Linked DNA regions of Mytilus edulis. The protein of the gene in region 1 binds, or shares a complex with, the protein of each later gene. Links are inferred from orthologs where the notes say so. Each region holds a gene or a part of one and is shown in the gene's direction. Other genes may lie near its edges. The genes, in order: AT-rich interactive domain-containing protein 2-like and protein polybromo-1-like.

Region 1 (16,742 bases):
TAAGTAGATTAGAAAGTTGTCTTAATTTCCGAGCATGAGGTATAGATATATCTATCTGAGTTGATAACCATGTGTCCCACGTTGTATTGACCTTTGCTGAAATAAACCAGTCTCTCAAAGCATTAAGGAAATCACCGAAAAGAATGTTAAACAGCATACCTTGGGCATTATGTCTTCCCAAGTGTTTGTATGCTTCTTGTAACTGTTTAACAGGGTCGCCTTCTATATTAAAACTAAACTTCTGCCTCGAAATTGTCTTTGATAAATCCGCCTTTCTGCTCATTAGAAAGGTGTGAAGTTCTTCAGGGGTCGTGATAGTTTGCTTTTTTTTCTTTCCCAGTTTTTCTTTAAATAAGTCCTGCACCTTTCTTTTCGGAGCTTTTGGAAGTTTAACCGGTCCCAAACTCTTAGCTCTTTCGATTGTCTCAATCATGCTCTGATAGTAACTGATATTTTCTATCAAAATGTTACTTTCTTCTAAACTCCATGACCAGTTCTGTGGTTGAGGCTGCACCTGACACTCTTGAATTTCCATTTGTATTTCTTTTGTAGAATTACTTTCTTGAAACATTAATTCACGTCTTCTCACCACTGTTAATTTGAAACGAAAGACCGCACCAGTCTGCTATATGTTTACATGTGATGACAACATTGTCTAGGCAACATGTAAACATACTCTTGACAACCATGTAAATATTTCCAATGATCGATTTTGTCTATTTAAAAGTCATGTCCTATTAAATAGCAAATGTAAAAAGCAATTTAAGTTGTAGTAGTATTGATCCGTTTTATTACTAGACTATATTGATAAAATTAATTAAAAATCAAGGTTGGGGCGCACTGGGGAAATTATTTTTTCTCTTAAATCCCACAGAATTTTTTCTCTGCCTGTTATCCCGGTTTTTTTTTGGGAGTAAGAAAATTTGGTGTTTTTTGGGGTGTTTTTTTGCTTTTTTTTTTTTACTTTTTTTTTTATGAAAATTTAGGGCTCTTTTACTTGAAATGAGGGTAATTTTTTGGGGGTCAAATTTTTTTTTTTGGAGGGGGGTGCTGGAGTCGTTCAAGTACTATACTACTCCCCTTAGGGGAAAAAATGAGTTTTATAAAAAACCCCAGGATTAAGGTTTTGGTGTGCTCTTTACAAAAAATTTTTTTTATTTTTTTTATGGGGGGTATAAATACAAAGTGTGTTTTTTTTCTTCTTAATTTTGAAGTTAAAAATCACACAAAAAATGTTGGTAAAATTTTTATTTTGGATGTAAAAAGGGGTTTTTTTCTTTAAAATGGGGGGGTCAAAAATTGAAGATAATTTTTTGTTTGTGGGGGGGGGCTAAAGGAGTGGTATATTGTGTATTGCCTTCTCCTCTATACAGGCCCAATCTATTGTATTTCAATAAAACTTTATTTTTTTCACGACTTGAACGTGCATGAAATATTTGCCACTGGATGTTAAGCAACAAATAATCAATGCATATAGATGTATAGAAACGTATTTATTTGCAATAAAAAATAGAAAATTTTAAAAAGTCAGCGGTTTTTTGTTGAAAAGGTGCATTTATCGATATTTGTGTAGGAAACTATAAAATGAAGAAAAAAACATTCTTTGAAAATTCTTCGTTCCAACTCTTAAAAAAATGTAAAAACAATGCAGCTACTTAAATCAAAGTTTCAGAAATTTGCCGACAAAATTTATACAAAATCTCCTCATTTCGGAAAATACCAAAGTAATATTCAAATTCATTATGCGAAGACAAACTGGCAACGCCATAAAAAAAACAACAAAAAAAACGACCAAATATTAACAGCAGTCTACAAAAATACAACACAGAAAACTATTACTGAGCAAAGAGAAACCCTTAGGTGGTCTGGGAGGGTATATATTTCCTTCCTGACATGGGACACCCGTCATAATACTCACAAAAATTATGGTATTAAGTTGCAACATATCAGGCAATAGCAGAATCAAGATGAAAACAGGTGAATCTTCATATGATATCAATATGAACCCTGCTTCGTTTTAGACCAACCCAGCCGGATCTTATAACGTTGTATCTCACATGATACCAGTACACAGGCAGACATGTCACTCACCCAGGCGTTTTAGACCAACCCAGCAGGATCTTATTACGTTGTATCTCACATGATACCAGTACACAGGCAGACATGTCACTCACCCAGGCGTTTTAGACCAACCCAGCAGGATCTTATAACGTTGTATCTCACATGATACCAGTACACAGGCAGACATGTCACTCACCCAGGCGTTTTAGACCAACCCAGCAGGATCTTATAACGTTGTATCTCACATGATACCAGTACACAGGCAGACATGTCACTCACCCAGGTGTTTTAGACCAACCCAGCAGGATCTTATAACGTTGTATCTCACATGATACCAGTACACAGGCAGACATGTCACTCACCCAGGCGTTTTAGACCAACCCAGCAGGATCTTATAACGTTGTATCTCACATGATACCAGTACACAGGCAGACATGTCACTCACCCAGGCGTTTTAGACCAACCCAGCAGGATCTTATAACGTTGTATCTCACATGATACCAGTACACAGGCAGACATGTCACTCACCCAGGCGTTTTAGACAAACCCAGCAGGATCTTATAACGTTGTATCTCACATGATACCAGTACACAGGCAGACATGTCACTCACCCAGGCGTTTTAGACCAACCCAGCAGGATCTTATAACGTTGTATCTCACATGATACCAGTACACAGACAGACATGTCACTCACCCAGGACACATTATTCTGACTCCGAGCCGACCAGTCATTGGTTTTACCTCCTTATGGCGAGTGCTTATTAAGAAATGGCAAATATAAGATGTTAGGGATTGCCAATGAAACCACTCTGTTCAAGAAACCAAAATGACACAGGAATTAACAACTATAAATCACCGTACGGCCTTCAACAATGAGCAGTTGAATGAGAAAATACGTTTTCAAGTCTTTGTTTGACCCGGTCGGGGATTGAACCTACGACCTCCTGTAGTTAATGTTTCATATGCCGGTATTTATGAATTGTAAAGCTTTACTATAAAACAAATGCAAATGGACTAAATATCCTTTGTTTATCAAAATCTTCATTATCTGAACTGTCGCATTCGAACTAAAGAAATTATGTAACCTTGTTTTCAATTTTGGCAATAAATCTAGTTCAGCAAATTTGAATGCATGTATCGGAATAAACTTCACCAGGTTCAGTGGCGGGTTCAAGGCACAGGCACTCGTCTCAAATGTCCCCCCTCCTATATACCTTTATATAACACATATAGGAAATTTTTCTTCTTAGACGAGTGCCTGTGGTTCAAGGGGGGAAGGGGGTGGCAAATAAAGTTTTTTTTTTGTTGTTTTTTTTTTAAAGTTCTATGCATTTGAGTGTTGGACATACTAGTTACTAGTATGTTGAAACTCCCTTTTATTCTTGGGAAAATGACTGGATCCGCCGGAGGTTCACTTTGAACCCCCCCCCCCCCCCCCAAAAAAAAAAAGCCAAAACAATAACCCGTATATTGAGTCTATCGTTATGCAGTTAAGTTATAAATTGGAGTTATCTTTCTTACAACAAATACTACAATGTTTACTTTATATTTCAGTACATTGCTACTCTTAATTATAAATCGATGGTGTGTTTAAACTTTAATCTATATCTGAAAGTTCTCAAAACATTTGTAGTAAGAACATTTATCCTTCTCATTACCAGCGTGCTTTACGTAATTGATTAAGCTCCGGTGACCCCCACCCCCGAATTAATAGCAAGGGAGCAATGCTTTTATTCCACCTCCTGACCTCTTTATAAAAAAAATCACAGTAAGACCATGAACACGTCGCATAAAAGCACACTCACTACAAGTTTGAGATTAGATCAACTAGTACTGGTTTGACCGGAATCTTTTATTTTTCAGTTATACTGTGTTAGAATTTCTTCAGTCCTTTATCTCATCGTCATCATCATTATCGTTTTTTCGGATATCAAAATTCAAAGTTTATGATTAGAAGAACCACCAGCATTTATGCATAAATCATCTTTTTAAAGCGATTGCATACAGTATGTGTTTAAAAATTGAGAATGGAAACGGGGAATATGTCTAAAAGACAACAACCCAGCCTAAGACCAGAAAACAGTCAAAGGCCACCAATGGCAATGCATTGGTCTTCAACGCAGCGAGATAATCCCGATCCTGGAGGCGTTCTTAAACTGGTCCCTTTATACAATAATGTATACTTGTTCAGCAAAAATGGTCGTTACACTTAACTCCAGCACATATTAATGAACATTTAAACAAACATTAAAGACTTACAAAGGCAGAGGTTGACGACATCGGACAGACACAAACATGCAGCGAGGTTAAACAACATTCACCGTTTCCATTCTCAATTTTATATACTAGTAGCTATAGGGTTTTTTAAATTTAACCAGTTCCTAAGTAGCGGAGATCTTGAATTTCAAATTAACCGTAACAACAATTTTTAAAATGTGAATCATAACATCTAGATGTATTGTATTTCTCTAGTCTTAAAAACTCTTACTTTCCATGGGGACCACTGCTAAATTGATTTGTGGAGGACGACATCTTAGCCGGATGCAATAGGCAGTCTCAGAAGCAGCTTCCGAGAAAATTAAAAGGATATGGCTGCATGGTATATGCAAATGATAGTCATACAACATTTCAACGACACAAAAGGTTTTTTTTAGTGAGATAATAGATCGCTTCTTATTTTAGGCTAGCCGCTATGTTGCTAACGCATTGCCGTTATCCCTTTATTCATCTAGTTTTATTAAGTTCTAAGCTTGAAAAACTGTTCACATGTACATATCCAGTATGATATACGTACTCTGTTTAGAATATATAGAAGCATTTCGTATGTATGTAAGGTAGACAAAGAATATACTATATACATAGTTATTAGTTATAATAGAGAAATCTGTAGCTGGGTAACCTAAAATAGAAACAACGAAAAAACAAATGTCAACAAAACACTTCACACAAAATAAATAAAACAAATACCCCCCCCCCCTTTTCAGATAAAACAGAGATAAAATTGGGTACACCGGAAGGGTAGGCTGTCTCTGCTTCTCGAGTGGCACATGGCTTGTAAAAATCCTATCAAACCATAATTAATGTCATCGGTTCATTTGTTTCTGACAATAGTATATATATATAATATGACTTGTCAGAACATCAGAACATTATTGGGGCTGGCAGTGATATGGGCAGGGATATGTTGAAATTCGGAACAATCCCGGATCAGTCGAAGAAAAATGTCATCTTGAGTTGGTTCATCGTAGACTTCTTTTCGTCACCTTAAATAAGAATTGGACATGTATTGCTCCTCTTCTTATTTAAAGGTGACGTTTAGGTCATCCATAACTCCTCTAATATGCGTTGCGAAACATATTGTATATATACCCTTTGTTCCCATGTTGATAAGCTTTCGAATGACGTATATGATAGATCTGTAATGAGGGTTGAATTGTCACAGCAGTCAATCCCATTATTCAAAATATTCATTCCATTATTCCAAATTGGCTATTTCTTAATTTCACACGTATTTTGGCATTAAGGGAATACGATATAGTTTTGATTCCATGTTGAAATTTTGCATATAGGCTATTTTTTACCCGATTAAATCAAATATCTAATAAAAAAAAATATACCTTCATGTGCTACTTTTTGTGTAAAAAGAGGTCGAAATTTCAGATATTTGTTCAAAATTCGGATTTGTTGACGTATTTTTCCTTTCGAAAGAATTACATAACTTTTTTGTTTCAAAAGATAAACACAGGCTGTTTTTGTTAAATTATTTGTAATATCTATTCTATATAAGTATCTTATACATTTGTGCATTTTTTTTGTGCTGTATATTTATCAAATTTAAAAAAAAATGCATTACTGACTTTTTTATGAAAATTGGTACAAATATTCTTTATACGTAATTACACCAAATTTAATTTTAAAAACGAGAGGTCCATAATTAAACTCGTTTTCAAGTAAAATTAGTTTGAATGATAAAAATCAGTCGAAAAAAAGCTTTCAAATGGTGTAAAAAAATCTGTAAGTAGGGGCTGAAGTGTCGTAGCAGTCAATTCAATTATTCAAAATAAGTTATTTCTTAATGTTAACGCGTATTCCAACATTTAGGTTCTCAGTAACTCTTCTAATAGGTGTTGCAGGACATATTGACTATAAACCTTTTGTTCCCCTATGGATAAGCTTACGAATAACGTATAAGGTATATCTGTAATTAGGGGCTGCAGGATCGCAGCAGTCCATTCCATTCCATTATTCAATTTGATTTTCACGTATTTTGGCATTTAGGACCTCCGTAATCCCTCAAACGGGCACTGCGGCACATATTGATTCTTACCATTTTGTTCCTTTATCAATAAGCTTTCAAACTGTGTATACATTTTCTGTAGTAAGGGGCTGAAGGATTGTAGCAGTCCATTCCATTTTAAAAATACGCTATTGTAATTGGCCAAGCAAGTCGGTATATATATCATTTAATCTGCACGGTTCGGGTGACCTTAATGAAACGACGTTAATATCGATTTGATTGGTCTATAACTGTTTAAACACATGACGTCATCAATTAACTTGGCAAGATAATTTTGGAAATATGAGGACGATATACCCCAATCCGCGGCTCCTATGAAAGTTTCTTATAGGGTAAAGAAAGGATGAAATACGTTTTTATGAAGTTAGTTTGGTAAGTATTAAATTTATAAAAAAAATTGTTGGCTTCTCTCTAAATTGTAACATTATTTAAAAGTTGCGATTTAATGGTATTAGATAAGTTATATACGTACTTATGGTGGTCTTTATGATTCGGTTGACAGTTTTAACTTTTCCACTACACTTCCACGCAATCTTATCAAACGGTAGTTTTATTTAATCGTCGTTCGATAATTCTAATTGCAAATTTATTTGCTAGCCTGCTACTCGTACAAAGACTTTTTTCTCAAACTGCGAGAAAAGTAAATATATTAGATATACTTATTGGAGGTGTGATGAGATGATTACAGCCTTATTTTTTCTCGGTTTCGCAATTAAATTTATCGACAGATTGTAGATATTCCCATGGGCACTAATTGTACCTCTTTAATAAGTCTGTACAAATGTCGATCTCGGTCCATATGTGGTAATATGAATATCAAATTAGGTCTAAATATAGAAACAATAATTACAATCCTCTGAAAAAAATGATTTTTTTTTGTTGTTGCTTTAAACGCATATTTGTAGGGGCAACCAGCTGTCCAAACGTGATTCTGCGTTTTCCTTGAAATTTTAGCTTTGACCTTGGACCTAAGAAAACCTGACCACAGCAACTCCAAGCGACGACAATATCAATATTTCGATGAGGCTTGTTCTCCTCTTTACAAAGATGCCATATGGGTAGCCTACAGCCGTATGTTATTCCATTTACCCAAAGTCGATAAATATCGTTACTGGGCACCCTACTATTATCAAAAGTTTTCGTAGTCAGTATATATGCAGTCTATGTCTAAACCTTTATACAATGCCTCTGTCCACTCAGTATCAATCATTTCTAACAATTGAAGACCAGTTGACCTCCCTGCAATGAAACCGTGTTGGTTTTTTTTAAGAGAATAGGTTGTTTGTTTTTATGAGCTCTGTTATAAATTCCCGCAACATTTTCTCCATTATTTTACATACAACTGATGTCAAACTTACAGGTGTATAATTTGGGGCATGACGAATGACGATAAAACTTCTTTCCAAATGACGTTAACGATAATTTTTGGTGCAGGACGATAAAATGTACTTTTTCTTTTAGACAATACAATAATTGACTGATTTTGACGAATCACGTTTTAAAATTTTTTACGCTAACGGTAGCCGAAAATGCCCGTTTGACGCTTGTCGGTAATTTAAGAAGGGCTAACATTCCCACCCTCTTATCAATGCATTCTTCCAGTCAGTAGGGACTGACTTACTCTCAGGTGACCAATAACAGATAATGCATTATTATTTAAGCGGGTTTTCTATTGGCTCAGCTATCTCTTTTAGTAATCTAAGGTAGGTGCAGTTTGTCCATACCTGCATGGTGAGTTTCCTATTTTTCAAGGCCTATTAGTGTTTCAGATAGATACACCCTCCTTTATTTTCAGTTTTGACATATGTTCCCGATAAAAAGGTGAGAGGGGGTAGAAGGGGTCCAGATCCCGAAATCCCGGGCTTAAAAAACACGAGGTCCCGAATTTAAAAAAAAAAAATAAATCTCGACATCTCGAATTCGAAAAAAGAATTCTCGGATCCCAAAAGGGTCAATCCCGAAGTCCCGATAAAGGTCATATCCCCCTGAAAGCTTAACAGATGCGGATTTAGGGGGATAGCCCCCCTTTTTCAGTGGAAAAAAGGGTTCATTATATACTATAGATATACATGTGCTACTAGAGAATGACAGACTGGAGCAGGCCCCCTCTAAAGAACATTTTTAGATCCGGCCGCCACTGGTTAATGATCGTTATTAACCCAACACGTAATTAAAAACTCTATTTTCACGGAAAACTTAAATATACATGTATATAAATAGCAGTGTCACTATAAAATCTCGTAAAAATAACCTTCTGAAACAAAAGAATTATGGAAATTATGAGCTGAGGGTAGTCTTTTTGCTACCAGTTGATCTGGTTCCTTTCATAATCAAAATGTGCACATGCGCAGTAATTTGAGTCTTTAATGTCTATGAAATTAGTACTTTCGTCTTTAATTCCCACTATGTAGCGTCATCAAAACTTTGATTTTGGCGACTAAAATCATTTATTTTCTGTTGACAAAATCCTGGTTAAATCTAAAGTTCTCTTAAGACTAGAAATTTTTAAAACGTAAAATTTCGTCAAGTACCCTCCATTTTGAATAACTACGCCGGGATATTGTCAATTGCATATATGGCCCTCTACGGACAATTGCTTACAGGCATGATTATTATGTTTTTTGTTACGATTTTCCAAGAATAAGTCCACGTAGGGTCAACAATGACCATTTAAAATTAAATATCCAGCTAATTTCTAAAGAGAGGATCTCTTCGGACAAGTTATTGGAAAGTAATACATTATCGATTTTTACTGTGGAGTGCGTTTTCCTTGTGTGTGTGAAGAAAGCGTTGACTGAACGGTAACCGACGACAATAATGAGGAATCCCCGATAATATTGAGGATTTTCCCTTCGTCTGTCAACCCTGTGTTTACGTTTTTTTGAGTGCGCGTTGCACAAACAACAATATACTTCAATGTTTTATCATATTTATTGGATTTAGTGACGGAAAGTAGTGTAAAACTGTGATATTATGGCCAATATTTTAAACAAAGATCCGCTCACATTCCAGCAAGAAAAGAACGAATTTCTAAAAGAAATTCACATTTTCAACAAAAACAGAGGGTAAGTTCATCTTTCTTAGTTATTAAATTGTTGTCATATTATTATATAATTACAATATATTTATATTTTCATGTTTAATTATTATATTTCAGAACACCATTTGAAAAACTTCCTAAAATTGGTGGAAAAGAGATCGACCTGTATTTGTTGTATCGGCGTGTGATCAGCTTTGGTGGATTGCGAAAGGTAAAGTCGGTTTGAATTTACCTCCGTTCACAGTCAAGTAGTGTATCAATAGAAGCCTCGCGCTTCTCTTGTTCTTTGATTGTCATTATGATCTATAAATATTGGCAATAATAGATCAAAATATTTTTAATGCATTGCCATTTTAAAGATGGCTTCCATGTTGTGGTTTAAGGGGAGGGGCTTACTGTGTGTATTGCAAGTTGGCAATATTATTCCAAAATCTGCAGATTTTAGTTAGTTTTTGTATTGTTTGAGGTTGTTAAAGAATAACAACAATGCATATGCAATCCCTTGTTATTTATTTTTAGGTTGACAATTAAAAATAGGCCTGTATTTATGCAAAAATAAAGTGCAATCAAGGTCAACTGTGTAGAGTGAGCCAATTTTTTGCAGGATTGAAAAATTGACCCCCAAAAGAAAAGAATAGACATTTATAATTCATGCCAATGATATGCAAAATCACTTTTGATATATTTGAAAATTGATTAATTTTAGAGTAAATAAATATATGCATTGTACTATGAACATGATGAAAACTAAGTAAAAACAAAATGCAAGGTTTAACTTGTGCAACTTTTTTTTATGAATGATTGCACTTTTAATACCTTGATTGTTAAATATTTTTCTTATAATATGTATGCGATCACCAGTATTGCAGTTCCTTATTCATTGTAAAAATGTACATACATGTACATGACATAGAATTCGAATGAGTGAACTTTCGATTTAAGAATAGATACATGTACATTTTGCAGGTCAGCTTGAATCCAACCAAATAAAATTTAAGTTGCGAAAGTTGGTGGTTTGATAGTACATGTAAAATGTATTTCCATTACAATTGTAACACCCTTTCAAAAAAACACCTGGACAAACTAGATATATTTCACTATTGTTTAAGAACATTATGCAAGATTTTTAGTGATATTTTGTCAGAAAATGGTGAAAGAGCAAAAAATGAAGAGATTTCAGCAGAAAAGAATATTTACATTTTTGCTAAGAACATTGAAACCAACAAAATCAACTATCACGTTGATCAAAGAATTTACTTCAATTTAATTTGAAGATTCTAAAATGAAAGTTGAACTCAAAGCTTTATAGGCTAGAAGACATTTCTTTGGTATGAAATTTTAGACAGCCAGAAGAATGTAATGGCAAAAGTAATTCTAGCAAATCAGATTCATGAACAAATGAACATTCAAATTTACAAAAATAGCATATTTTGAAAATGTCTTGTTTATTCTTTAAAACTGAAGATAAAAGCTTCAATGTAAAATGTATGGATATGCTGCTGGGGAAAAAACAAATTATTCATGTAGTGAATATTTGAAAAAAATATATGATAACCAAAGGATAGCAGCTGAAAAATAAAATTATTTCCCTACCTATCTACCCACATTTGGCTTGGCAGGGTCAGGATTGGGGAAACAAACAATATTTTAATTTAGGCCTAACTAAGATTATGCAGAGCTTTGAAGGTTTTAAGTTGCAAATGTACCCCCTCCTCTTGTCATGTTTGTTCATAAATAATTATAAGTGCTGTATATTGAAATGATGTTGTCTGCACATCCATGCAATTGTCATTTGCTATCCAAGATGTTTACATTTAGTACAAAAATGTAGTTATAAACATGATAAAGAAAAACAGATAATTACTTACATTGTACAAGTGATCTATAAATAGAACTGGAATTTACCTTTTAATCAATGACCATGCTCTTAGAGTGACAGTGTAATCTCTGATAATAATTTAAATCTAAAAATAGCTCTAGTAAGCTGGACTCTTATTTATTAAAAACCTTGTATTTTTTTTTGTCCTTCACACTCTCAAACGTTCAGATATTAAATTAAAGACTTACAGGATTTGGATTTCAGTAAAGGTTTTTGTTTTAGTTTTATAAAAAACATACCAAAGCAAATTCCTCTATAATGTATACCATATTTTTCTGAGATTGTAATTGGATGTATACATGGTATATAACATGTGTAAAATGGGTAAATTTTATTAGAAAGGTAGAGTTACATGTATGTGATGGAAATCACCTTCATATTAACTTTACATTCATGGTTAGATATAGAAGACAACTTATTTATTATCATAAGTCCGAGTATGCTGTCATTGAAAGTTAGAGAAATAATTTCCTGTAAGCTTAAAAGAAACTTTTATGTAATAATCAAGAATATTTGGCTCCAATGCAACCCCATCATTATTGATTAAAAGTCAATTGACATTGAAAACTTTCCATAAAAATTGTGGGCTGATCTCACACTACTTATGTAATGTAAATGTATTTATGTAATGTAAATGTATTTATGACTTTTCATAGAAAATAAAAAAATGTTGCAGTCTGGAAAGCCCAAAAGAACATATTGAACCAATTCATTTTAATGTAGTTTTCATACACGTAACACTTACAGTATAATATTTCATTTTTGTCAGCAGGTAATATTCACATGCATGCATGATGCTTGGCATTTTCAAGGTGCCTTTTCCCCACTTATTGTGAAACCAATTAAGTCCCATCTTTAACACTTTATACATATATGTTTTGGATAAGAGAGAAAAAAATATTGATCTATATACGAAATAAACTTAAGCTTCATTGCAGAAAAATAGAAAATTTCTTACCAGGGGTTAAAAATTGCACTAGATGGATTTCTCAGTACAGGGGGGGGGGGGGGGAGGGGGTATTGTACATTGTTTATGCTAAAATTTTCAATTAACAGTACTGGGGACTATGATGCATTGAATGATAGTCACCTTTGACCTGTCTTCAACTCTTGTCAGACAGCTGTTGAACACTAAACCATGCAATAAAATATTTCTAAATAGTTTAGTAGGTACCACTGGAACATTGTCACAGTCTGACAGTTTCAAAATGAAAAACAGAAGATGATGGGCGCCAGATGGGGCTGAAAATTAGTCCCCCCAAAAAGCTGAAAAGAACATTTATAGAATATATGGACAAATAGATTCTACTGGGCAAGGTCAACTGTTACTGATGTTGATGATATAGACAATGTTTTGTGAATATTTTCCAGATCACACCAATAAAAGTCTTCTATGTATGTGGGATCAACAAATATTTGATTAGAAACACTACCTGGTTTCAGATGACAAGACCCATGAACATATTTTCTGTGCCTGTAAATATTTACCACCCATAATACAACAGATTAAAGCGAACTAGATTATAGAATTCATTGTATTATGCAGCAAATTATGAATTTGTAAGGCATGCTCAACTAGTATGTCAGACTTGATGTGCGAGCAGTTCTTCAAGTTCAAACAGGGCTAGTAAAATCCTGCTACCAAAAATCCTGGGCTAGTGAGCTGTCTACAAAAATGTTTAACCCCTGTCTATACTTTTATCCAAAATCATTTTGAACTGTCTTTATTAATTAAGCTGAGCTATATATGTAAAAAAAAATATAATGTAGCAGTTGTAAAATACTGGAGTCTGGCATACATTTTATTCACTGTATCACATTGTAGTTCTTACTATAGTTATTATAATTACCTGCTGTTTTAAATAAATCAACCCTGACACATACATTTGAAACAGTACTGGCCAATAAAACAAGATTTATGGATGTAATATTTTGAGAGTCCTTGAGGTCTTAAAAAATATATATTTTTGTAGATCATCATGATCATGATCAAATCTGTAACTTAAACTAACTTTTTGACACACTGATGATGACAGACAAAAATGTTGAGGTTTTTATGAAGACCCACAGGATAAATTTTGCTACTTCTGAAACCAAATTTCTCCTAGGTTAGTCGAGACTTTTCAGGAGAACTTTCTTTGTCAAAGCTTTAGATTGGCAATGATTGGTTTAGCCTATTGGGCAAGTATGATAAACATTGTATGCTAGTATTTATAGAATAATTCAGTCTTCATGCTCGACCACAGGCACAGGCCCACCAGCACAAAAATGTACTGGTGTAAAAATGCTGTTCTATGTAGGCCCTGTAACAATATCATCTCTTTTAACTAAAATTTGCATAAAATTCAATTTTGAGGCTTTATCTTTAAGATTGGAATATCTGAATTCTTATTTTATTCAGATTTAAGCATGTTAATGAAATGTAATGTAGCCAAAGGTAGTTATAAATTCTGAAAGTTTATATATTTTATAATGTTTTAGCTCACCATGCCTAAAGGGCCATTGTGAGCCATTTTCAGGCTTTGGTGTTCGAGGTCTGTTGTCCTCTGTTATCTTTTATTAAAAATCTAAAACTAGATAAAACTACCAGGCCAAATGCAACCAGATATATAGGGCATTACTGCCGCTCAGCAAGTCAATGCAGTTTTTGTGCCTTTCCCAAGACAGGAGGATCTGGCCTTTTTCATGTTTTTAGTCTTGTACTATTTTAAATTTTATAGTTTATTTAAATGTTTTGGAGTTAAGTGTGCATGACAGACCGTGATGTCCATTTTCACTGAACTAGTTCACAATTTTATTAACAAATGCAGGGGCCAGCTGAGGACCACCATTGGATGCAAGATTTTCTCTCAGTGTTGAAGATCCATTGGTTGACTTCGGCTGTTGTCTGCTCTTTGGTCGGGTTGTTGTCTCTTTGACATATTCCCAATTTCCATTCTCCATTTTAGTCATGGTCAAATTTTAAAAATAACATAGACATGAAGACTGTGTATGGCTGACATGACCATATGGCTGTTTCACACTGAATCAATGTTGAGCAATAATCTAACAATAATCAATCAACATATACGTTTGTCACTGACAATGATTAAATCTAAAGCTCACATTTACAGTAAATGTGCATTAAAATTACATTTTTTTATAATATATCATACATAATTAAACTATTCCTTTGTTGCACATGCTGAAAACAGTAGCAGATGTTTGAGGTCAAAGTAAAGTTCACTTTATTAAAAATGCAAATCTGCAATTAATGTAACCTGCATTTACTATATATACCTCTCATACATGTACATTGTAGTTTTTGTTGCAGTAATATTTTTCTTCTCTTTGGTCAGGTTGTTGTCTCTTTGACACATTCCCCTTTTTTAGTTCCCTACCGACGAAGTCAATGAGGAATTGACTTTGCACTCTGTCTGTCTGTCTGTCTGTCCATCAGTCAGTCTGGCAAATCAGTTTTTCAGACTTTTTTCTTCATGCTTGAAGATATTGATTTGATATTTGGTGTATTGTTTTATCATGACAAGTTACAATCAAGTTCAATTTTCACGATTTTAGCTTTTCTTCTTGTTCAGTTAAAGCCCTTTCCCTAGTTCATTCTCAATTTTATTGTAGTTTTCTTTACACATTCTGTGGACCATTTTGTATAAAGTTTAACTTGCCTTTTTATAGAAACTGCATCCGAACAAATAAGGGAGAATACTCAGTGATAAATTACACGTTCTTCTTTCTAGGAAGCTAATAGTGCGGTGACAGAAGTGTAAAAAGTCGTCTAGATCGCGAGTTTAATCTCCCCAAATAACACACGACTAAAAATGGTCTTAACTGAAAGACAAATATGTCTTCTTTAGTTTTTGCCCTGTCGTCAGAATTTCGTACGGTCACATTTTTCTAAAAAATCGTTTTAATGACTAGTAGTATATTGGAAAGTTTCAACCCCCCTTTTTCAAATTGAAAAAATGTGTATGTTTTCTCACATTTAATTGAAATAGTTTTTCCTGAAGCCATTTTTATATGTCAAAATATTCTATTTAGTATTTTATTTTCTTCTAATCTATAAAATTTGCAAAGTTTGGACTGTTTAAAATTGAGGTAATTTTAATTGCAAATTCAGACACAAACTTTGGTTTCTTCTTCATAGCAGTAATAAAAATTATCCCATGATATTTTAAGCATATAGTATTTCATAAAACTAATAAGTGATAAAATTTTCGGAACCAAAATATGAAAAAAACCTTAAGAAATCAATGGAAAAAGAATGGATTAAAAACTTCAATTTCAACACGGAACTTAATCACTTGCCTTCCGTCACATTTTGTGTATTAGTCAATAATTTGCTCTCAACTGATAGATGGAATTACTACCTTTTTCGTTATTATATACACATATTTTCAATTAAAGTGCACATATATGCCACATACTTTGTTTGTATATGTTTATATTCTATGTTTTTTGTTACAAAACATCAAATATACTTTGTCAGAAAAGTCTTATTGTAAAATCAAAATAATTGACGGATAGTTTCAGTAAATATTCCGTGATATGTGAAGTCCGTTGCAACTTGCTCCAATAAGTCTAAAAGAAAAGAATAAAGTCGTTCAATTTTATGCAGTGCTTAATATGCAAAAAAAAAACTCGACTGAAATTTTGAGTCAATTTAACCATATAGGGAAGTCGATTTTTGTATCTGCATCGAATAAAAGATTGGATGAGGTGAACATGTTTCATGAAAAGGCACTTGTTTCTGTCAATATGGGTTTACTATCCATACCCGTACGAAAAATCACCCGTACGGGTATGGATAGCAAACCCCATATTGACAGAAACAAGTGCCTATGATTTCATGCGATAGCTGTTAATTCGAAGAACTCCGTGCAGGCAGTTTACCATCGTTCATGGTACAAAAGTTACAAAAGTTAACATATTTGTGCCCCCTTTTAGAGCGAGGAAGCTTCTTATCTGATATTTAATGACGACATACAATTATCGGACTGTTGTCCCACAGTTTCGAGTATTTGTATGCGTTCTAGAATGCAGTCGTTCAACTGGAGCGCTTGTACATTTTGTTGCAACAAAACATTTTAGAAATATCATAAAAACTACGCAAGTTTGAATCAGATGAGCGTATGAAGAATGTTTTATCCGTGTCAGACAAAGTTAAAATTGAAATTGTTTTTCCGTCCATCTTTTAAACTTCAAGCACTCTGTCATTTTGGTTGCATTACAAATCATTTGCTAAAAACGAGAAAAGACCCAAAAAAGTCCAAACCCGTGGAAGCAGATATCTCAGATCACGATACTGCTTTTACTAATTTTATTTTGGCTATTGACAACGATTTAATGGTCATTCCTCGTGACACCGTTACTTGATAAATACAGATCTACTCTAATTTAAAATATTCTACTTTTAACATGCGGTCTAAACTTATTGATTTCTATTGAAATTCAGTTGTCAAACAACAAGT
Region 2 (16,579 bases), on another chromosome or scaffold:
CGAGGTCAAGTGAAAACTGTCCGACAGACATGAGGACCTTGCAAGGTACGCAAATATCAAATATAGTTATCCTATTACTTATAATAATAGAGAATTCAACATTACAAAAAATCTGAACTTTTTTTTCAAGTGGTCACTGAACCAAGAAAATCAGGTCAAGGACATTGGACGTGTGACTGACGGAAACTTCGTAACATGAGGCATCTATATACAAAGTATGAAACATCCAGGTCTTCCACCTTCTAAAATATAAAGCTTTAAAGAAGTTAGCTAACGCCGCCGTAGCCGCCGCCGGATCACTATCCCTATGTCGAGCTTTCTGCAACAAAAGTTGCAGGCTCGACAAAAAAACGATAAATACATTGTTTTATATTTAAGGGTGTTAGCAATTTTTTCACTGTGACAGTTTGGTCAGCCATAACTCATGTGCCATAACTCCTTTATTGTACGGAATAGTTTTGAATATATCGAATCAAAAAACTTATATCTGTCATATTAGATTGTCTTAATACATAGATGCTCCGTCATTAACAAAAACATAATTTGCTTCTTGTTATGATTTAGATTAAAAAATTGTTTAAAATGAAATGTATGTTTAGGTAATACCGATATCTTGGTTAATCTGAATCTGGTTAACTATAGATTGTACAGTGTCGTATAAGTCAAATATTTGGTTAGCCATCAATCTTGAATAGATTACCCGTCGTTTGCATTTCAAATGAGTTAAAATACACATGGACGGTATTCGACTTTTCACAAATTTCATCTAAAAAATTCAAGAGCATTTACCAGGTCTGAAACAACTGATTCAAATTCCAGGCCTTTTCCAGTTTCCAAGATAAAGTTGTGACCTTGTTGATTGAAAAATAAACCGTGTTCCCTTTCCGATAAACGTCCAGTTGCAAATAGCTCATGCATACCATAGATGGAAATTCTATTCATTTTACAATAATATCTTTATGCAAATACAAGATATCATTATCTTTATATTTCATTGTACTTTTTCACTTCATAATATCTATTTTATACATCCACTAGTACAAACATTTATAGAAAGTTAACATCAACATGCATATTTACTTTCAAATTGATGTCACTCACATCTTCATGCTAAACATGCTTGGTTTCCCGTTTGAATGGTTTTACACTAGTAATTTTAGTTTGGGGCCATTTAAGGCTTGCTGTTTGGTGTGAGCCAAGGCTCCGTGTTCAAGACCGTACTTTTAACTGTAATGGTTTACTTTTATAAATTGTGACTTGAATGGAAAGTTGTCTCATACCACATTTTCTTATGTCTATTAACAGTTTACCCAGACCATTAAGCTGATACTAGACGGACAAACTGAAAGAACACTGCCCAGAAAGCATAAGGCATCCTGTTATCATAGACACGACGTAAAATTGATTTTATCTGACACCTGTCAAGTTATATAACAGAAGTGAACTCCATTTTACATGTTGATGCTATTTCATCTTGAAGGTCGAGTTTTGACAGTCGCAGATGCTCATTTATTCAAACTTCTTTTAACAAAACACCAAATCTAACGAATATAATGCTTTTGAAGCAGACCCAGTAATTTTATTCATGAGTCACAACGTTTGACACCATCCATCGAAAGTCCCTGCATCCATATATGAATTTCACACAATATCCAAATTCTGAGTCGAGAAAGTTCAGAAGATTTTGATTCAGAGCTGATTTAGTGTTCTTCTCATGGTCTTTTAGCATAATGGTAATGTGTTGTTATATTGCTCGAATGTTTTTATTGATTGTTGATTGCTTAACGTCCAGCAGCAAATATTTCATGCATGTACAAGGAGGAATACAAATTAACAATGAATGAATACAACAGGTAGGTCTTGCAATAGGGTCAATTGGTCTGAAGGGCGGTAAATGTCACAGTATGTGTATATCGGATAGGTACAGAAGTTAAGCCTTGCATCCAGACCCCTTAAAAGGTTGCTCAAAGGGTTCTTAACGTGCAGAAAGCTTCATGATACATTGGATTTATTGTCATATTCTCAATCTGACCAGAATTGCTTGATTGTGTTGCTCTTTGATATGATTTTTTTACAGATTGTGTCATGAAAATAAAGTAATAAATTTCTAAATTAATTCTTGACCCTAGATGGCTTTGTAAATTGTTATTATCAGAATTCTATTATGAATTTTGGGGAGGAATTTTATTCTTGTTCTTTAATTCATTTTCTCTTCTTTCTTTCTTTATTTATTGCTTGGTTTTTAACTCCACCTTTCCATAGGTGGATCCAGAGGGGGGGGGGGGGGGAGGAGCTGTGCACAAATTTTGTTTATTATATAGGAAATCACTGAAGCTTGACTAGACTAGAGTGGGACCCCCTGGATCCGCCACTGCTTTTAGTGACATTTGTTATATTATGCTCTGTATTTATTGGCAAAAGAAGAATATAGAGTACCTGAATGAGAGGTCCTTCATCTGTAATTTTTTTTATACTGTTTTTCTCAATCTTTATTTTTTAGGTCTATTTTTGTCAGTTCTTTATTTGCCTAGCCATTTATTCTGCACTTTTGTCCATTATACTCTATTCTATAAACCCCATCCAGACCCTCCTGTATAGGATCAACAACCAATGTCAGAAGAATTGGCTATCCTTGTCCATTAAGATTAGAGTATAAAACACCTTGCCACTAGCTGGGTTTGACCTGACAACCTCAGAGTTTACAGGTGTTTTTGAATAAATAAAAACAAGGACTTGTGTAGTAAGACAACAACTCTGCACAAAATTAAAGTCCAAGGACCATATCTCTGCACAAAATCTTCACACTGGAACAAAATTTAAATTTGATCTGTAACATGTCATGCATGTCATGATAAAACAATACAAAAAATATCAATATCTTCAAGCATGAAAAAAAAGGTGGGGAAAACTGATTTTCCGGACGTGGGGCAGGCAGCCAGACAGATGACAGACAGAGTGCAAAATTAAAGTAACCTTCGACTACGTTGGCATGAGATTAATAAAACTGATGACTAGAGGCTACAGAAAATTAAGAAATTAAAACTTCATAAATTTTATTTCTTTTTTCCATGTTTTGGTCTGGTATCAACATTTTGTGGGACTTTTTTGGTCTGTGGCATATAATTGGAGGTAACCTGCATCATCACAGTCAATGCCATACAAGATAAGCATGCCACACAGGCAAACCATGTTGTGCCATCAGCTACTGATGAAAACCATTCAGAAAACAATGCTAGATAAACTGTTATTGATATGCCTGTAAATGCAAGTAAGCCAGAAGTGGCATGATAAAGTTTCATGTCTACTAACTTTGCTGGTAAACGAAATATATTGTAGTATTTTAATCCAATGCCTCCTATTGTTTGCAATATCAAATAACATAAAGTTCCCACTCCAAACCATGAATGCCAGGTTTGAAAGTGTGGTTTATTATTTCTGTCTTTGTTCAGGTAAATAGCAGTGAAGCCTCCAGCTGCACACACAACTCCAAAAAACATCATGACCCCATGTATTGTCCCTCGAATCAATCGGCTCCAACTTAAAAACAATGAGCTTTGTTGGTTAAACAGCATTATAGCTTCAAACATAAGGAACATCATCTGAAATAAATGTAAAAGAATATTAAAACATCGATCACTTGCATTAAATGTAGGGTAGACACTATCTTTCTTTATTTTACTTTCAACTCGAACCATATACTACTAAGGGGAGACATTTCTCTGTTATTACAAAATGTAGAGTTTTGAAGTAATGAATGATCATGAATAAAAGTAGACATTTTTTCCTCAAAAAATAATATTACTTAACTCATGCAAGCCAATATTTCTAGACAGTTAGTATCCAAATTACTTACAGCTATTGTCATTAGTGTAGGATGCCATGAAAATAGACCTGAAATTTAAAAAAAAAAAGATGTTCATCTAAAAAACAAAAACTATATACATGTATAAAATAAAAATAACTATTACAAAATTAAGTTATAGATTATAAACCATAAAATCAGAAGATGACCGATAATCCGTAAATGGGTGGACATTCCCTCTCTTTAGGAGGCAATTTTTATAGTTTATCCGTCTTTTCAAAATCGCTTTTTAAATAAAAGTTTGCTGCTGCATATTCATCAGGGATCTCCATGGATGAAAATTGAACGATGGAGGAACTTTCACCATCATAAACCGTATCTACGATGTACAGCGTAACGCGATCGAAAGTTTTTCATCCCTCCACATAAGGATAGGTGAACATGCTAATTCATTGCTTATTTGAATTATATTTATTTGAATTCTCATTATAAATACTATAGTATATAGAAGTATATATATTTTCAATAATTGCCATTTGTAACCCTTCAAAGGCAAGCCCTCATGCCCCCTCCCTTTCCCTTAGTCGAGAATGACCAATAGCTATCACAAAGGTCCCAATGTAGTTTTCTTGCTATTTTCGGTAATTGTTATGCGGGTTAAAATTCATGTGGAGCTTATTTTTCACGGACATTGTCAAATTCAGAATTCATGAACCCATTACCGGTATATATGGCTGGTTTGCAGCAACGACAACACGAGTCGTACGGGTTATGTAAAAGGTTAAAAAGATTTGTAAAGCGAACATTGTCAAATGAAAAGGTTTTTAATGACTTTATCTAGAAAAGCGATGCTATGCAACATGCATTTTTCAAGTCGGAATAGAAACCGGAAACGCGGATGTATCAATTTGATTGTAAACTACGAAATGAATTCGGAATTACGATACGATATTTATTTACAGGAAATATTAAAAGTTTTTACTTTTTAACCTTTAAAGTAATTCTATATTATCGTGACAATACAGCAGTACTCGAGTTATTTGCGATGAAATAATAATTACTGTTTTACGTCTTATTTTGAACTTCTTAAAAAGGGGGATGCTGATTGCGTAAGTCAAAATAAAAGCACGTGTTTTACTTGTTAAACTATGTAACTAGACTATTAATTTATTTATTTAATCTGAATTATCATAAGCATTTGCGGAAACTTAATTAAATAATTCGACAATTGAATCGTCTATCTTCAGATAATATTCTCCTGTCTGCTTTGTTGATCTACCTGTACAAGCTCAGGTACAAGTGATTAGCGATCTTAATCCGGATATCCCTCAGGCGTTAGAACTGGATTATACTATAAAGAAAGCCCGAAGGTTATGCAATTACATGCATTTGATTATAATTGCTAAAAAAAAATGACGTCAGGCTATAAAAACGATCACAGTTTTGACGATGGCGCAAGTCATTTAACGATGGCGCCAGACTTGGGGTAATTGTAATTGTAATCGTTAATCAGCTGTAATTGATTACAATTTTTCAAGTAATCAGTGTAATCATTAATCAGCCAAAAATCTGATTACATGTAATTTAATTTAATCAATTACTTTTCAATATACCCTGTAATCATGATTACTTTTTGATTACATTCTGATTACAATGAAAAAAATCTAAAATTGTGTTTTTGGTCATTAAATGAACCTCTTTGTTCATATTGGATAAATTTTTAACATACTAAAATGGTTTGGTTACTTTAAGCTTGTCTACTTCAGTAAAGAATAAACTGTTACAGTATTGAAAAGTCATCATTAGCCTAAGCAGAGACATATAATACAATTATATACCTTTTATCTTGGTAAAAGATATTGTACATACATGTATATTCATCATTTTATAATGATCTTCATATTGATATTTGATTATAACTGTTATAGATATATATTCAAGTAATACTTTTCTTTAACCCTGAATTATAATCTTTTGTTAATTTTTGTGATTTTTGTCAACTTTAAATTGACAGGTAGGAGACTAATTAAGGTTTGTTTTTATTGCAATTACCAATTGAGTATAGCTGTAGGGAAATATATATGATAAAAGATAAATCAGACATGAAAATTTATCTAATTAGCACAAACTAAATTAAAAGTTGGACAAATATGTTTTTAAACTTTTTTTTGTATTTGGACTGGACGTGTAAAATGCAATGGTTTTTAATAAATACTTTAATACATATTGTTTACAATTTGATTACACATTTCTATTAAAATTCAACATAGTTTTAACTGGTAACTTTATTTCAGCCATATTTAAACTGCAACTTGGAATACATATAAATTATGAAAGAGGTCAAAAGACAAACAAAAAAACTCTTGATTATGATATATCTTTATAAAATTTAATTCAAAATAATTTAGAGATCATTGGTGATAAAGTGTAATGTATATATATATGTAGTGAAATTTGGTGTTTATTTAACTAGATGACGTTTAATTTGAAGTTATCATTTTATAATTGACTCAAATAAAATATATTCTCAAAAATGCTATAGTTATATTAAACGTTTATTCATCCAAATCATCCAAATGTTTTGTTTTTAAATTTATTGTAATCAGATGTAATCATGATTACTTTGCCAATGTAATCATTAATTTAATCAGATACTTTCAGAAATGATGTAATCATTAATTTAATTTAATCGTACAAATGACAAAGTAATTGTAATTTAATCAATTACATTGAAAGTAATCGGACCCATCTCTGGATGGCGCAAGACATTTGAACGATGGGGCAAGTCATTTGACGATGGCGCAAGACATTTGAACGATGGCGGGGCACCATCGTTAAACAGGCCATGGAGATCCCTGATTCATGGTTTCTTTATGCTCCTCTGCAGACCTATAAATATATGTCTGATGTAACTTCAAATCACCAACACATATATTGATTGAACTGCAGAGGAGCAATTATTTTAATTCTATTTAAGAAAGTAATAATCCTATATTGGCTGAACAGACGTGTTAGTATATCTAAGCGTAGATGACCTCAATTTTAATCGCTACATTTATGGTGCCATGACCAGGAAACACACTCAAATCAATAAGATCAGGGAACAGAAGCATTTGATGACCTGAAAGGTATTTTTACCTTTGTTTTGATGAACAGTAATAATCAATCACAGAATAGATTTTCAAAACAACTCCATTTTTGACAGGTGGTAAAACTGAGGTGATTTTTGTCTTAAGGTTTATGTACCCTTCTGTAGCCATTTTTGTACGAATTTTTCAAACCTCAATTGTATCAAAACTAAAGATATAATAAATAATAGAGATAGGCCATTTAGTACATGTTCCAAGGGGAAACTTGATGCAAAGCATTATTTTTTACTGTTTCGTTGCATTTGATAGAAAAAGAGGACTTTGTGGCAAATAAATCAAGATTTTTATAGAAAATCCACAGCCTTTAATACAGAGATTTTTGTTATAAAATTTGAAACATAAATTACTCACTTGATTTTCTATGATGTGCTAGTGTTTATTTTTTACAAAAAGTTCTAAGTAACCTGTAAATTCCAAAACACCTCGTGCTGAGTCACTAAAGTCGAGCGCACCCTAAAAGGTGTACTTGATTTTGGCCATATTTATACTTGTCTTAACCAATAACTACATTTGTAAACTTGTTTTAAGGAAATCAATGCTTGCACTGCATGCAATAATCCTATATCTATCAGTCATCAAATTGCCAAATATGAGAGTACAAGGATAAAGGCTGTGGATTTTCTATAAAAATCTTGATTTATTTGCCACAAAGTCCTCTTTTTCTATTAAATGCAATGGAACAGTAAAAAATAATGCTTTGCATCAAGTTTCCCCTTGGAATATGTACAAAATGGCCTATCTCTATTATTCATTATATCTGTAGTTTTGATACAATTGAAATTTGAAAAGTTCGTACAAAAATGGCTACAGAAGGGTACATAAACCTTAATCATAAATGTTTACAGGAAAAGGGAAATTATAAAGTCTCTCTCATCTTTGTTTTAAAATAAAAATGGAGCTGTTAATACTTGAGCCTGGAACAGCCGAATATATCATAAATCCTGTAAAAAGGATAGTGGCAAAGTGTGCAACCATTTTTCAACTGTGAGTTTCAGCCACAACTCACAACTCCAAAACTCACTATCATGGGAAAGTGTTGATTTGAGACAAAAAGATACCTTTTCTAATGGAACTGTTTTAAAAAAATATTGTGTGCATATAAATTGCATTTAATCATCAATTGTTTTATTTTCGTTTAAATTTTCAAAGAAACAAGTAGTTTTATAAATTTTCAGTAGAAAAAACATTTATTTTGATTAAATTTCCCTCATCACCGCACATTGTAAACAAACACAAAAGTGAATCAGACGATGCAAGCATCACATTGACGCTGATGGACGGCGTCTGTCACAAAGAAAAGTAAGAAAACACAACAAATGATTACAAAAACAATGCAGAAAACCTAAATTTTGGATAAAATCTAGTTTCTAATTGATGATAAATATCCAAGCATCATATATTAGTAAATGTGCTTTACGGAAAATGAAGCAGTAATCCAAAAAAACAACCTATACAGGCTATAGTTTAGGCCTTGATTTCAAAGCATTTTTATTGTCATACAAGTTTGTAAGTTTTATTTGTCTTGTACATGTTTACAATAGACACAGTGGAATTCTGATGCTTGAGCTAAATGTACACGAATTCAATTATGCCCAGCATGATACTGTTCCTGATCCTGATCCTAAGGTCAATAATTGACACTACTGTTCTCTGTGTACTATCTTCCTCCTCTTATGGTACACCGTTGCTCGAGGTAATATCTCGCGGTACTTTGGTATACTTGTTTAGGCGCAGGATCGGGAATCAGGGATTGCAAGTTCTTGGAATCTCCCTGATTTTGTAATATATTCCCCTACAATTTGCGGTGTTGCTTCGTAGGTTTCTCTTTTTGGTGGTGCTAGTATTGACTGTATATTTGTTGGATCGATGTTAAGTAGTTCCATTTGTCTTCGCATGTCCTCTCTTTCTTGTTGGTATCTTGGGCAGTATAGCAGGAAGTGTTCTGATGTTTCTTCTTCTCCGCATTCACAATATGGCGTGAGGGATTGACCGATTTGGTTTCTGTATTTGTTAAGTCTGCTGTAGCCCGTTCTTATTTCTGACAATATTCTTCCTATTTGGTTGTTAGGCTTGTCTAGTTGTGCGTCCTTACCAACGATAGGAATTAGGTTGAAAAGCTGTCTTCCAGTTTCACTAATTGTCCATCTGCTTTGCCATTTGAGTTTTGTAGACATCTTGACTGCACATCTTACATCTGACATGGTTATGACATTATACTGATCATTTAGTGATGAGGCCTCTTTTGCAGCGTCTTTTGCCAACTGGTCCGCTATCTCGTTCCCGGCTATATTAGCATGGCCTGGGATCCAAGATAGGGTTGTTAGTATGCCGTGTCTTAAGAGCGTTCCCATGCATTCTTTGATATCAGTAATTGTGTCGATGTAGTTAGAAGATTTCCAGTTCAGAGTCAAGATGCCTACAGCAGTCTGGCTATCTGACAGTATTTTAAGCTCAGAAAACTGGTCCTTTATAGTCGTTATACAGTGCTCCAGGACCATTAGTATGGCTACTAGTTCAGCAAGAAGTATCGATCCTCTATTAGCTACTGGCCTCTTTAGACTTATGCCTTGGCTATTTCCAGAATATACTACTGCTCCTGCCCCACATGGTCCCGGGTTACCTTGACATGAACCATCAGTGAATGCCACTACTGTTGAGTCTGTGCTGTCTCCTAATAGGTCCTTTACAACCTGTTTACTTTCAACAGTTTGTTCGGCTGTTCTGTTCTTTGAGCTACCTAGACGACTCCAATAACTTGGTGATCTCCTTAGCATGACATCTACACCAGCTTTGTATGTGAATTCTGGTTCTATAAGTTTGATGTCAACTTTCGTGGCTTTGAACATGTCTATGGATTGGTTTATAGCTTTACCAAATGGAGAATCCTGTTGTTCATAGGTTGCGTTGTTTGTTAAATACTGTTCTAGTTGTTGTTTAATTGGTTCTGCTATGTTCTTTGATTGTATTTTTGCCAGTTCACGTACTGATATTTCCTCTATTCTGAGGTCTATGGGTTGTATGTTGGCTTCAACTTCCATTGCCTCTCTACCTGATGTTCCTGGTAGTCCTAGGCATATTGACAAGCCTTTTCTTTGTACAGCTTCTAATTTCTTCATATTCTCTGCAGATGTTATTTGCCAGACTGGGCATGCATACTCCATGATAGATCTAACCATGCTGTTGTATATTTGGAGTAGTTTTGATCTTGATATTCCTCCCATGCTCTTAATATCTCTAATTACATATATTGCATTATTTGCCCTCTTCTGCATCAGATTGATGTGGGTGTCAAATTTAAGCTTCTCGTCTAGAGTTACTCCAAGTAGCTTCGGTGTTGGACTATATCTATAGGAGAAGGAGTTGACTTTTAATGTTTTCTGCTCTGCATCTGTGTTGCCTTTTGAGAATAGGCATACTTCACACTTTTCCAGGTTTACATTAATTCTCCATTTTTCTGTCCATTTTAAAATAGTTTTGACATCCTCTGAAGTTCTTTCTTTCATTTCCTTTATGTCTTTCCCCTTATGCCATAAAGTGCCATCATCTGCAAACTTGCAATTTTCTCCTTTTGTGTTATCCATTATATCAGCTATGAATATGTTAAACAAGGTGGGTGATAGTACTGACCCTTGTGGCAAGCCGATTTTGGTATCAAATTGTTCTCCAAAGAAGTTATTCAGCATACATCTGGCTGTTCGATTTGTGAGAAAGCTGTTTATCCATAACCAGGTTTTTCCCTTTATCCCAAGTTGAATAACACTAACAGAAAAAATAACTATAACAAAAAAGGCAGTGCCAGTGTTTTCCATCTGCCCCCGCAGTTACATGTATCAGGTCCGCTCACACCCAATAGTCGATACACTTTAGCACCCGACACGTTCCCACCCTACACTTTCGCACCCAATTTTTATTGAAATTCCAGTTCAATTATTAGATATTTTTTTATATGCATTACCAATACAACGGTACCTCGAATGACCGAATAACACTGTTACTATCTGAATAACACTTGTAATGACCGAATAACACTTGGAATTTCAATTTTAGCACATATTGGTGACTTTTAAACATTGATTATTAATTAATGAGGGGGAGGACAGGGGGGTACCCTTCTCCTTTCTCCCACCCCTGTTCTCCTTTCTCCTACCCCCGTTCTCCTTTCTCCCATTAGAATAAAACATCTCCTTTTGAGATATTTTTTCTTGCATTTTTTAAAAGGAGAGATATTTTATTTTTTCTCCTTTCTCCCAGCCTTCCTCTCCTTTCTCCTACCCCCTTTCTCCCTGTCTTCCTTACCCCTGTCCTCCCCCTCATTAATAGTATATTATCGATAGATTTTATAACTTATAAATGATTTACAGAAAGCAGATAAGTTCATAAAAAACTTTTAAAATTTAGTATGTACATCGCATATGGCGATCATAGAAATCACAATGGCCACCATGTTTGATGTACACACTAAATTCATAATTATCTTTATGAACTTATCTGCTTTTTGTAAATCATTGTTAAGTTATAAAATACATCGATAATACATTATTATTTAATAATCAATGTTCAAAATTCACCAATATGTGATAATATTAGAATTTCAAGTGTTATTCGGTCATTACAAGTGTTATTCGGATAATAACAGTGTTATTCGGTCATTCGTGTTACCCCCAATACACCCTATGATCGTTATTTAGTCCATCCAGGAAAAACAGTCATTTACACAACTTCCTGTTTTGGTCATGCTGCCGAAAATAGAGGTCATCAGTAGTGAGCTGAGGGAGGTAAAACTTTAGAAAGCGACCATTAAGAAACTTTGATAGAGTATGATCCACTAATGACTTTTTCGAAATTAAAATTGAAGTAAAAAAATTATTTTGTTTGAAGTATTTATGGTAGTTTAAACAGGTCTCATTAAAAAGTATCATGCATGGTGTATTGTTTAATCAGGGTCCCAGATAGCTTTAACTGGATGAAAAAGTTGTTTAATTTATCCAGAATGGAAAGAATAGCGATTAGGTGTATGTTATTTCAACTGATCCGGTGGAGCTTATGTTTTAATTTGCATAAGGACAGTCTATTTGAAGATGTGTGTGAGAAGGTGATTGTCGTTTTAATATGAGGCAGGCATTACCTGTATATGGGGACGAAGTCTGTATGAATTATTTTTTTGTTACTGAAATATTTGTTAAAAAAACAGAAACGGAAATACCGTAGCGTTTCCGATTTTGGTTCTGTTGTTAGGGATTTTAGTTGTGACGTTATTTAAGTTATGACGTCATATGCAATGTAAACAAAGAAATGCTATCATCAGGTAACGTTTTTTCATATCAAGGAATTATTTAAAATGAAATTGGTATTGCGTTCCTTCCTATTTTATACTAGACAGATAAATATATATTTTACTCAAAATTTCATACAAACGAGACCCGAAAAAGGAAGTACATTGTAGATTTATGCGCAGATGCTGGAATTCAAAACATGACATCAAAAAAATTGAACGATTTTGAGTTCATTAGTACAATGAAAATTTCAGGAAAATTGAACGATTTTTTTTTATTGATTTTTCTACTGTTATTGGGGACTTTGTCCCCATAATAATTATTGAATTCTAATCACATATCAGTGTCACCAAACCCATATACAAAAGAACTGAGTGTATGATATGGGATGAATAACTGGACACTTCATTAATGAGTTTATCCCAACATTCCTGTCTAAAGATGGACTGGTCTTAAATAAGCAAACTTCTTAAACCGGCCCATTCAAGTGAAATAAATTTAGTAATATATATCCCCAAAAAAATCCTGATAAAAATTGGGGAGTTATTACAGTGTTCTCCCCAGAAATTTTGGATAGCATCACATTTGGCGTAAAAAAAAAATATTGTAATTTTTTCAATGTAATTTGTCGCGTCGTGGCAATGCTCTATTTCCTTTATGTTATATACGTTATTGTTTATTACAAATTTATTATATTGTTTGTATGCTATTGGCCCTCATCTTTTTAATAAAATATTTCATTCCACCCTAATCTTTGTGTATATTTTGTTGAATTCATAACTGAGAATACAATTAAACTAACTATATGATGCATGATAACAGATTTTTCAGTTAATGTTTTCTATTTTCATTTTATAGTTCCAGAATTATTTTTTTCCTCTTGGGCCAAATAAAAATATATTATGTTTCAGTTACCCTACATTGTACCTACCCAGCTAAATGAATGAATGGTTTATTATAGTGCATCCTGTATAGATACAATTGCACTAAATATGTAGGAAAAAACACTGGTTCTTACAAAAAAAAAAAAAAAAGGGAAGAGAAAGTATCATGTAGCAATAACTTTTAAATTAAAAAATCTTGTTCTTTATCATGTTATGAAATATATTGGTTAATGGTACTCAATGAATTAGTCCCAGTTGTTTCTTTTTATCAAAATAGTATTTATTTTCAACAAAGTTATCTAACAAAGTCCAGGGGCGGATGCAGGAATTTTCGAAAGGGGGGGTGCTAACCCAGGGCACCCAGGGCAAAGGAGGGGTGCAAAACATATGTCCCGATACAAATGCATTGATCGGCAAAAATAAAGGGGGGGTGCGCACCCCCGGAACCCCCCCCTGGATCCGCCACTGAAGTCTGTTAATGCTTAGGTATCATTGTTTCTGTCTACTGTTATTATTCTTAAATGCTGATTTTTGTCATATCTGGTCCGGTTCCGATAAGAAGTTTACACTAAAATAATCAATGGCTGCCGATAGCAATGAAAAATACGAAAATAAACAATGTTTGACAAGAGATTGGAAATGAATATGACGTTTTTAATGCATTAAATGGATGCAACATAACCTAAAACCAATTATGATCACTTTCTAAAGAAAGTACAAAACTTATTTAGATCAATATCAAAATTTTCACTCTCGATTTACACAGGAAGAGAAAGAAAGTACTAATATTTTGAAAGTCATAAAATGATACGACTCAACCTCTTTGTAAAAAGAGAAAAATTGTTTGTTTTCTGAATTTTCATATTGCAAACATATATTTCGAATTTTTTGTTTATGATTTTTTGATTACATTCTTGTCGAAATTTCCGATTGCATACCACGTGGTATCAATCATGTCACAAGTGACAGCGTGGGGTATTCGTATCCAAACAGTTATCACCCAAAGGGCAATCAACACCTACATTGTATTTAATCACTCTAAATTGCCTCTATTGTCCGACTTGAAGGGATTACAATTAAAGGTAATATATTTTTTATGATCATAAGCGGTAATTAGAATAAAGTTCAAAATTTAGGACATGGCTTTGTCATATAGAAACGAGAAAAATAACATCAAAATAATTATAGCATCGCGGAAATAATTATAGCGTCGCGGAAATTATTATAGCGTCACGGGAAGAAAATATAGCGTCGCGGTACCGCGACGCTAAAACGGCCTGGGGAGAACACTGGTTATTATATAAAATGTTGTTTTTTTTTCTTCAATTTGATGATTAATTATTAATTACACCAAGGACTCCACTGTAATTACAGCGCCCTATTGGTTTATAAGGAACATTGCATGCAATTCATAGGGGAACCATATATGCATACAACATGAACATGTATAACCAGAAAACAGTTGACAATTTTAATATTTTGGGAGGGATCAATGTCATTATATAATTATTTGATTGTCTCCCCTTTCAATTTTTCTCTCTCATGTGCATGCATTATTATTTCATTGTGTTGAAAAAATCTAATTTTGAAATTTCGAAACCCAAGGGTCCATAATTAGTCAAATTAAGAATTTCTATATATATCAAAATCTGCCATTGTGGAGGGCATTGTGCATGTGAGCGGGGCTCGGGTGGCTCTTCAAAGGTTCTTTTAATTTCTATTGTTTTAATTACATTTTAGATAGAATATGGGAGCTAAAAGAAAAAGAATATCGGCCATTGGTGAACAGCAGAGTGAAGATAGAGAAGAATCTCCTGGTCCCCCAGCTGGTCCATCAAGTCAAACTAAGAGACGTAAAAAATCACCACATTACAGTCCAGTAAGTACCGTTTATTAAGAGTATGAAAAATGCATTTTGTCATTGATTGAAAAATCTTTTTAATCCAAACTTTTATGTTGATTTTTTAAACAAACTTCATTATTTTTTTCTGTATTTGTATTGTATTTAAGTAAAAACCGATTGATTAAGTTAAAAATCACTCTATCTGATGCTGATTGAAAAACTGAAATATGGCAATTCCAGATGTCAGATTGAAGTTATACAAGAATGAAGAAATAGATTTTATGAATCAATCAATTTATGACAAAACCGTTGGGCGTAAGCATTTGCACATTTGAAATGGAGAATGTGTGTAGTCATGTATCTTACATTGTAACTCCTAAAAACCTGGAGGATGCCAGAGCATGTACAAAAACAGTACAATGTATATATGTTTATAGCTGTGTTTGAATATAAATATATTTCGATACTGAAGATAGATCCTAGATGTACATATTAAATATTAATATACAATGATATATATAATATTTCATGAAAATTTACATTCGTTGTAGACTGAGATTTGTCAAGAGCTGTATGAAACAATACGTAATCATAAAACAGATGATAGCCGCTTTCTCTGTGAAACTTTTATCAGGGCACCCAAAAGAAGGTGAGTCAAAGAGTTTTAATCAAAGAATCTTGTTGGGATATTGATCCAGTTAGTAAAAATGTCAAATAGATCTAGTTATAATTGAATGTCAGGTTATGGGTACTTTGTAATCAAACTTTTCTCATTGCCAAGGGAGTTATAAGAGGTTTTTTCTGGACTTTCTAAATTATAGCAAATCAGTTTTCCTTTGTTCCTTTTGTTCAGTGTAGTGTAAGGTAGCCACCACTATCCCCAAAAGCAAGTACATAGTGGGGGCAATCTTTAGTCAGACTGACTTGATTTTCAGTCAATACTTTCTTTACTCGACACATGACCAACGAGAAAACTAAAGAAATTCTGAAATAAAAATACAAATGTACTTAAAACACAAAATATACATGAATTTTGTCCGTTGATTTTATCCCTATAAGAAGTGATGAAAGGAAGTAACAATTTCCTTGAAATAACTTGAAACTGCTTTGGCTAAACCTTTTAAATAAAAGTCAAGTTCAATTTCACAATTTTAACTTATACAGTTGTTGAGTTGTAGACCTTAATAGTGTAAAGTGATACTTTAATTGTTTTGGTCTTTCAATAACTGAACTCTACAAAAAATCTTTTTTTTTTACTCCATCCTGTAATTTGGGGTCCAGATTTGCAAATATCATTTTCATGTAGAAAAATCTGACATACATGTACTTTTGTTTATGCGTTGATACATAAGGAGTAAATTACTTTAAATTTCTGTTTGATAATTTGTAGAACTGCAGCAGACTACTATGAAGTAGTTTCAACACCTATAGATCTCCTACAGATAGGTCATAAACTGAAAACAGAAGAATATGAAGAAATAGAACAGTTAACAGCTGATATGGAACTGATGATTACTAATGCAAAATCATATTACAAGGTAGTTTTTAAATGTGTGTTAGTATTCAAACTTTAAAATCATACTACAAGGTAGTTTTAATGTGTGTGTCAGTATTCTAACATCAAAATC

The links.
Region 2: AT-rich interactive domain-containing protein 2-like (region 1) and protein polybromo-1-like share a complex: the UniProt entries of both Homo sapiens proteins name them as parts of the SWI/SNF-B (PBAF) chromatin remodeling complex. The link is inferred for Mytilus edulis from reciprocal best matches to the Homo sapiens genes ARID2 and PBRM1.

The regions. Positions count from the first base shown.
Region 1 is NC_092353.1:67,051,722-67,068,463, reverse strand, and holds the start of AT-rich interactive domain-containing protein 2-like, read left to right. Parts: upstream 1-8,901; 5' UTR 8,902-9,331; coding exon 9,332-9,423; intron 9,424-9,515; coding exon 9,516-9,609; intron 9,610-16,742. UniProt on the Homo sapiens protein: Involved in transcriptional activation and repression of select genes by chromatin remodeling (alteration of DNA-nucleosome topology). Required for the stability of the SWI/SNF chromatin remodeling complex SWI/SNF-B (PBAF).
Region 2 is NC_092344.1:83,198,047-83,214,625, forward strand, and holds the start of protein polybromo-1-like, read left to right. Parts: upstream 1-8,135; 5' UTR 8,136-8,250; intron 8,251-8,675; coding exon of another isoform or gene 8,676-10,532; intron 10,533-14,848; 5' UTR 14,849-14,855; coding exon 14,856-14,987; intron 14,988-15,502; coding exon 15,503-15,600; intron 15,601-16,341; coding exon 16,342-16,489; intron 16,490-16,579. Other genes in the region: transmembrane reductase CYB561D2-like, read right to left, coding at 3,054-3,599, 3,854-3,891, 7,958-8,060; uncharacterized protein, read right to left, coding at 8,676-10,532. UniProt on the Homo sapiens protein: Involved in transcriptional activation and repression of select genes by chromatin remodeling (alteration of DNA-nucleosome topology). Required for the stability of the SWI/SNF chromatin remodeling complex SWI/SNF-B (PBAF).